Linked DNA regions of Struthio camelus. The protein of the gene in region 2 interacts with the protein of the main gene of each other region in a biochemical or structural test. Links are inferred from orthologs where the notes say so. Each region holds a gene or a part of one and is shown on either strand. Other genes may lie near its edges.

The links. The genes of interacting proteins can lie anywhere in the genome.
Region 1: the proteins of INSR (region 2) and TRIM72 form a complex in vitro, tested with the Homo sapiens proteins (2 studies listed by BioGRID). The link is inferred for Struthio camelus from reciprocal best matches to the Homo sapiens genes INSR and TRIM72.

What each region holds. Positions count from the first base shown.
Region 1 is NC_090973.1:292,804-296,542, reverse strand, and holds the start of TRIM72 (tripartite motif-containing protein 72), read left to right. Parts: upstream 1-1,278; 5' UTR 1,279-1,381; intron 1,382-3,739. UniProt on the Homo sapiens protein: Muscle-specific E3 ubiquitin-protein ligase that plays a central role in cell membrane repair by nucleating the assembly of the repair machinery at injury sites.
Region 2 is NC_090967.1:5,524,037-5,527,775, forward strand, and holds the start of INSR (insulin receptor), read left to right. Parts: upstream 1-793; 5' UTR 794-864; coding exon 865-943; intron 944-3,739. UniProt on the Homo sapiens protein: Receptor tyrosine kinase which mediates the pleiotropic actions of insulin.

The DNA.
Region 1 (3,739 bases), on a different chromosome or scaffold from region 2:
GGGGGGGTCGTGGGGGGCTCTGGGGGTATTGTAGGGGCACTGGGGGCTTCTGGGGGTTACTGGGGGGGTGGAGGGCGCTTTGGGAGCTACTGGGGGGCTACTGGGAGATACTGGGGGCCTTGTAGGGGCACTGGGGTTCCTGGGGGGATGGTGGGGGGCACTGGGGGTTACTGGGAGTTACTGGGAGATTTTGGGGGGCACTGGTGTCTACTGGGCGCCTTGTGGGGGCACTGGGGGACAATGGGGGGTCCTGGGGGTGTTGTGGGGGGCACTGGAGGTTACTGGGGGGATACTGGGGGTTACTGGGAGCATTATGGGGGGCGCTGGGGGGGGGCAGCCCCCAGCCTGGCTTGAGCAGGTGCAGGGAGAGCCCAGGCGTCCGGCCCCCCCCTCCCCAACCAGGGGCCCAGGCGTCCGGCCCCCCCCCCAACCAGGGGCCCAGGCGTCCGGGCCCCCCCCCTCCCCAACCAGGGTCCCAGGCGTCCGGCCCCCCCCCCAACCAGGGGCCCAGGCGTCCGGCCCCCCCCTCCCCAACCAGGGGCCCAGGCGTCCGGCCCCCCCCCTCCCCAACCAGGAGCCCAGGCATCCGGCCCCCCCCCCAACCAGGGGCCCAGGCGTCCGGCCCCCCCCCTCCCCAACCAGGGTCCCAGGCGTCCGGCCCCCCCCCCAACCAGGGGCCCAGGCGTCCGGCCCCCCCCCCCCAACCAGGGGCCCAGGCGTCCGGCCCCCCCCCTCCCCAACCAGGGTCCCAGGCGTCCGGCCCCCCCCCCAACCAGGGGCCCAGGCGTCCGGCCCCCCCCCCCCAACCAGGGGCCCAGGCGTCCGGCCCCCCCCCTCCCCAACCAGGGTCCCAGGCGTCCGGCCCCCCCCCCCAACCAGGGGCCCAGGCGTCCGGGCCCCCCCCCTCCCCAACCAGGGTCCCAGGCGTCCGGCCCCCCCCCCAACCAGGGGCCCAGGCGTCCGGCCCCCCCCCTCCCCAACCAGGGGCCCAGGCGTCCGGGCCGGTGCCACCTGCTCCGGGCGGTCAATCCCTGTCCGCGCCCCCCCCCAACCCCAACCCCAATCCGGCCTGTGGGGGGAGGAGGAGGAGGAGGGGGGGGCCCAGGCGTCCGGGACCCCCCCTGCCCCCCCCCCCCCAAAAAAAAGGAGGAGGCGTTGGCAGGAACCGCAGAGATTTGGGAAGGGGCCCAGGCGTCCGGGAAGCCCAAGCTTAGAGGACGCTGCAGGGAGGGACCCAGGCGTCCGGGGCGGGGGGGGGGGGGGGGAGCACAGCGGGCCCAGGCGTCCGGGCCGCCCTCCCCCCCCCCAGGCCATAAATAGCCGGCGGCGGCGACGCGGAGCCGCCAGACGCCGAGGGACCCCGTCGCGCCCCGACGCCCCGGTGAGAGCCCCCCCGGCGCCCTGTAGCCGCCCTATAGGTGTGCCAGCCCCCCTATAGCATCCCGGGGGGGAGGGGGGGGCACGTGGGCCCTATAGCACCAGGATAGGATGCATCGACCCTATAGCATCCCTGGGGGGGGCCCTATAGCGCTAGGGGGGGCATATAGAGTCTGGGGGGGTGTAGCCCCTATAGCACCTGCGGGGAGGCTGTATTGGCCCTATAGCGCTGGGGGGGGGCTCGACGGACCCTATAGCGGCCGAGAGGGTGCTAAAGCCCCTATGTGCTTATAGAGGGGGGTGTGCCAGCCCTATAGTTTATGGGGTGTCCGTGCAGACCCTATAGCAGGGAGGGGGCTGTATAGACCCTGAGGCAGTGTAGAGCAGTTGTGGAGACCCTATAGCACTGAGGGGGCTGTATAGACCCTATGGCAGCCAGGTGAGGGGGGTCTCTAGACCCTATAGCTCCTGGGGGGGAGGCTGCGTAGACCCTGTAGGCATGAGACAGCAGGTTGTATGGATCCTATAGTGCCCAGGACAAGGGTATATAGATGCTATAGTACCCAGGACAAGGCTGTGTGGACCCTATAGTGCCTGGGATGAGACTGTACAGATCCTATAGGGCCTGGGGCGAGGCTGTACAGACCCTATAGGGCGCAGGGCAAGGCTGTACAGACCCTATAGGGCCTGGGGTGAGGCTGTACAGACCCTATAGGGCGCAGGGCAAGGCTGTACAGACCCTATAGGGCCTGGGGCGAGGCTGTACAGACCCTATAGGGCGCAGGGTGAGGCTGTACAGACCCTATAGTGCCTGGGATGAGACTGTACAGACCCTATAGAGCCCCAGGCGAGGCTGTACAGACCCTATAGGGCCCCGGGTGAGGCTGTACAGGCCCTATAGTGCCTGGGGTGAGGCTGTACAGACCCTATAGGGCACAGGGTGAGGCTGTACAGACCCTATAGGGCCCCGGGCGAGGCTGTACGGGCCCTTTGCTGACTCATAGGCACCACCGCTGCTGGGGAAACTGGTCTCTTAATGGAGCGCTGTATGGAGCCTATAGGGGCTGGGGGTGCATAGCGGTGCTGTGTAGCCCCTATAGCAACCAGGGGGGTAGGGGGAGTGGAGGGGAGGGACTAGCTGCTTGGGGAGCCCTATAGATGCCATAGGGACTGCAGAGGCATGCGGGGTGCCCCACTGCGCCCAGAGAGCGGGTGGGGTGGTGGGGTGCCCTGCGGGGATCAAGGGGCCGTGCTGGCTTGCAAGGGGGTCCTATAGCCCCTATAGCATCCAGGCAACCTACTGGGGTCTGTGGGTGCTCTGGAGACCCTATAGGATCCACAGGACGTGGTGGGCTCTGGGGCTGCCCTATAGGGTACAAGGGGGTGTGCTGGCTGGCGAGGGGGTGCTGTAGACCCTATAGCATCTGGGGTACATGTTGGGGTCTAGGGGTGCCCCATCGACCTTATAGCACCTGGGAGGCGTGTTGGGGTCCAGGGGTGCCCTATAGAGATCTCAGGGGCATGTTGGGGTCTAGGGGCACCCTATAGGGATCTGGGGAGCGTGTTGGGGTCTAGGGGTGCCCTATGGGGATGTAGGGAGCATGTTGGGGTCTAGGGGTGCCCTATAGGGATCTGGGGAGCGTGTTGGGGTCTAGGGGTGCCCTATGGGGATGTAGGGAGCGTGGTGGGGTCTAGGGGTGCCCTATAGGGCTATAGGGAGCGTGTTGGGGTCTAGGGGTGCCCTATAGGGATCTGGGGAGCATGTTGGGTCTAGGGGTGCCCTATGGGGATGTGGGGAGCATGTTGGGGTCTAGGGGTGCCCTATAGGGGTATAGGGAGCATGTTGGGTCTAGGGGTGCCCTATGGGGATGTAGGGAGCGTGTTGGGGTCTAGGGGTGCCCTATAGGGGTATAGGGAGCGTGTTGGGGTCTAGGGGTGCCCTATAGGGATCTGGGGAGCATGTTGGGTCTAGGGGTGCCCTATGGGGATGTGGGGAGCATGTTGGGGTCTAGGAGTGCCCTATAGGGGTATAGGGAGCGTGTTGGGGTCTAGGGGTGCCCTGTAGGGATCTGGGGAGCATGTTGGGTCTAGGGGTGCCCTATGGGGATGTAAGGAGCGTGTTGGGGTCTAGGGGTGCCCTATGGGGATGTAGGGAGCGTGTTGGGGTCTAGGGGTGCCCTATAGGGATCTGGAGAGCATGCTGGGGTCTAGGGGTGCCCTATGGGGATCTGGGGAGTGTGGTGGGGTCTAGGGGAGCCCTATGGGGATGTAGGGAGTGTGTTGGGGTGTTGGAGTGCCCTATAGGGGTATAGGGAGCGTGTTGGGGTCTAGGAGTGCCCTATGGGGATCTGGGGAGCGTGTT
Region 2 (3,739 bases):
AGGACGCGGCAGGCACTACCGTCTGCCGGGGCTCTGCAACGCGAGTCTCCGGGCGAATTCCTCCTTCCCCAAAGGCTGTAATGGGAGAAAGAGGGAAAGCGATGCAAAGCTGCCAGTAAGACGTCAGCGTGTGGGGAGAAGGGCCCCGCTTTCCAGGCGGGCTTCAGGCCAGCAGGGACGGCGAGCTCTTTCAGCAAGCCTCGACTGCCCCACGTTCCCCTCGCTTGATGCCAGCGAGGCCGAAACGTCTCCGCTGGCAGCCGCCGCTCCCAAACGTTTATCCCCGATGCGAGCTGCGGCAGAGGCGTTTCACAGCAGGCCAAAAGACCGCAGCCGCTTGTTGCCTTCGGTTCCCCCCGCAGGCGCCGGGGCCGGAGGCGCCAACGGCCCTGGCCGGAACCGGCTGGAACCGGCCGCCGCCGCCGCCCCTCGCCTCAGGGCCGCCCGCGCGCGGCGGCAGGTGGATGGCGCCGTCCCGTCCCGTCCGCTGCGCGGCTCCGCGCCGCCTCTTGCCGCCGCCCCGCTCCGCTCCGCTCCCAGCTGACGGGGGCAGCCCCTTGTTTACTGGCCGCGGAGGCAGCCGCCAGCCCGGCCTGCGCTGGAGCCGGAGCTGGAGCTGGAGCTGGAGCGGCCGGGGCCGGGGCCGCGGGGCAGGGAGGGGCCCGCCGCCCCGCTTCCTGGGGCCGCCGGCCGGGCGCTATAAAGGCGGCGGCGGTGCTGCGCAGCGCAGCGCGGGGCTCTTCCCGACGATGCGGAGCCGGAGCCGGGCCCGGCCCCCGCGCCCGCCCCGCCGCCTCTGATTCGCCCCTGCCGGGACGCGCCGAGCCGAGCAGCGGCGGCGGCTGCAGCTCCAGCGACGCGGGCATGGGACCGAGAGCGGCGGCGGCGGCGCTGGCCGTGGCCGTGGTGCTGGCGGCCTGCTGCGGCCGGAGCCGGGCGGAGAGTGAGTAGGGGGCGGCGGCGGCGGCGCGGCCTAGGCGGGCGGCGGGGCGCTGCAGGTGGCGCGGCGGGGCGCCGGGCGCCGTGAGGCGGCAGGGAGGGAGGGAGGGAGAGCGGGCGGGCGCCGCGGGCCCGGCCCTGCCGCTTCCCCCCCCCCCCCCCAACCCTTCCCGCCGCCGTTTTACCCTTTGTACCGGCCGGGGAGCGGCCAGGCCGCGCCGCGGGGCCGTGGCGGCCAGCCGGGGCCTGCGGGGCCGCCCGCGGGGGGGGGGGGGGCGCCTCGGGTCACCTTCACCCCTCGGCTTTGCCTTGTGGGCCCCGAGGTGCCGAGCGGGGGGCTGCTCCAGCCCCCTCCCCGGGCTGGCCGTTCTGCCGTGATGTTTGTTACTGCTCCGGCGTGTTCTGGAGGCTCCGGCTGACTCGGGCTTTGAAAGCGCGTCTCGGATGCGGCGCTGGGGGGGATAATGGTGCCGTCTGCGCCCGGGGGGGGGCTGCCCGGAGCGGGGGTCTCGCCCCCCGCCGTGCTCCCCTGCCGCTGCCCCTTTCGGGCTGCTCTCAAAACGAGCTCTCCTCGCAGAAGCCTTTTTAGCGTGCCGAGGCGTCGCCTTAGGAGCTTGTGTCCTTAACCGCACAAATACTCCTAGGTAGGCTTTCAAATCCGCAGGTATTAGAGGGGGCTGGAGCTTGGTGGTAGGGATCTGCGCGCAAGCCAAGTCTCGCGAAGTACAAAACAGGGGTGTAAAAACGCGTGTTGGAGGTGGCAGGCTTGTGAGCTTCGTGGCTGACGTGAGTTGAGACTAGCCTTGTGAGCTGTTCCGATGGGTTCTCTTGAATAAACTTGCCTAAGGAATTGTTCTAGTTGGACGTTTCTCTTTTGAATTTTGGGGGACGTTCACAGAGTTCTTTTTTATTATTGCTAATTTTTTTTTAGTAAAAGGAAAATATTTGTTTAAATAGGACCGGACACTGAAGTTGTCTATCCCATAGCTGCTACCTGGGAGCTTTCCCACTGGCAAAGGCAATAGCAGGCAGGTAGGCTAGAGCCTGGACGTTGCAACGGTGGAGTCTTTTGAGAGGTGTGTAATGGTGAGGGAATAAAGCAGGACCTACCTTTCAGACAGCCTTTCTTCTTCTTCTTTTTGCCAGCGAGCTGGCAAAATTATGCATTTAAAAAATATGCAATTTCTTCTTCATGTATGCCTTCATGTTAGAAGACTTGAAAAAGACCAGTGATAAGTTTTTAACCTAGGAGGTTAAGCTGTAGCTGGCAAGCATGTACAAACCTGCCCATCTCCAGCAGAAAAATGTAAAAGATAATTGGCATATAGCATTGATAATAAATAACTATAAAATAACTTTAGTCCAGTGGCTCTGAATTTGAAAACACTACCACTACTACATTCAGTCTTCTCTTATCCTGTTCTGCTATTTGGGTTGTAAGTATGTTTATGATCATAGCTGCCCAATCTTTGCTGCATTACTGTGTGGTAGGAGAGTATGCTTTACAATTCATCGATGGAGAAACGGGAGCGATGCACAAGATGGCAAAGCCTGTAGCAAAGCCTGGGATGGAGTGTTTTTATATTGTTCATGTAGCGCGAATACTTTTCGAAGTATTTTACAGACTGTTTGGAATGTGAGGTCCCTAATTCAAAAGATTTTCAGCTTCTTGGCTTTCATTTTCTACTCCGTTTTTCTGAGAATGGTTAGACCATACTGGACTACAATGCGGATCGAAAACAGCACGCTAACATGAAGGCCTACATCAGAGTGGCTTGAAGGGTAAACGCATGTACAATAGTTGCATAAGCAAACAAGTTGTTCCCTGAGCAACGGAACTAATGAAGTCTGCTTTCTTGGAGATTTGTGTCCTGCGTTCTGCACAAACATGCACCCTGATAATGCCACTCTCCAGTGACAATATTCCCCTGGTCTCTAACCATAGCATTTCCTGTGCCTTCTTCCTCCCTTTGCTTCTTCGAGACCGTGCTGTAGTTCCCCTCGTGTCCCGTAAGAGGCTGGGCAAAAGCAGCAGGTAGTACAAAAGGTTTTGAGCTGTGCGTGCAGATGGGACAGTAGACAAGCTGGATGGGTGGTTGGAGTTCACCCTTCAAGCTTTTTCTTAATGGAGTTGTTGAATTTTTCCTCCTTTCCCATCCCTAGTTTTCTTGAGTCTTTTAGGAACATGATGTAGGCGAAAACTTTCCTTTCCCGTTAGACTGAAATTAGTTGGTGTGTTCAGAAGCTACTGAGAGGAGCAGGAGCACGGTTAAGAGAATGAGAGCTGACGTGCGTGCAACGTGAAGATGCACATATCTTGCTTTGTGGAGAAAAACGGCTTTTTTGTTTTTTACCGCTGTGTAAACACAATGCAACTTCATGCAATAACTCTCACCTATGACTCATGCATGTCATTCATTAGCTGTGATATTTAGAGTGGGGTTTACCTCACCTAGTTTTAGGCATCTGCCAATCGAGCAAGTTATTTTGGCCTCCTTTTGTAGCTGTAGAGACCTAATCAATATAGTCGGGGGTATTTAGAGGCAATTCCTCCTCTCCTAAACCATTTGCTTACCTTTGGTCGCTGTACTTGTTCTCCGGTGACTATTGATGACAGTGGGAGTTAGGCATTTAGCTGAGATGTAGGTACCTAAATTAGGGACACATTGGGACAAATTCCACTTCTTACTCTTGTGGTAATGTTCTTTTAAAATAATCTACTTCTAAATTATGCTTCCTGTCTCATACTTTTTTTTTTTTTTTGGTGCTCATGAACTCCTTAAGAAACTGTGGCCCTTTT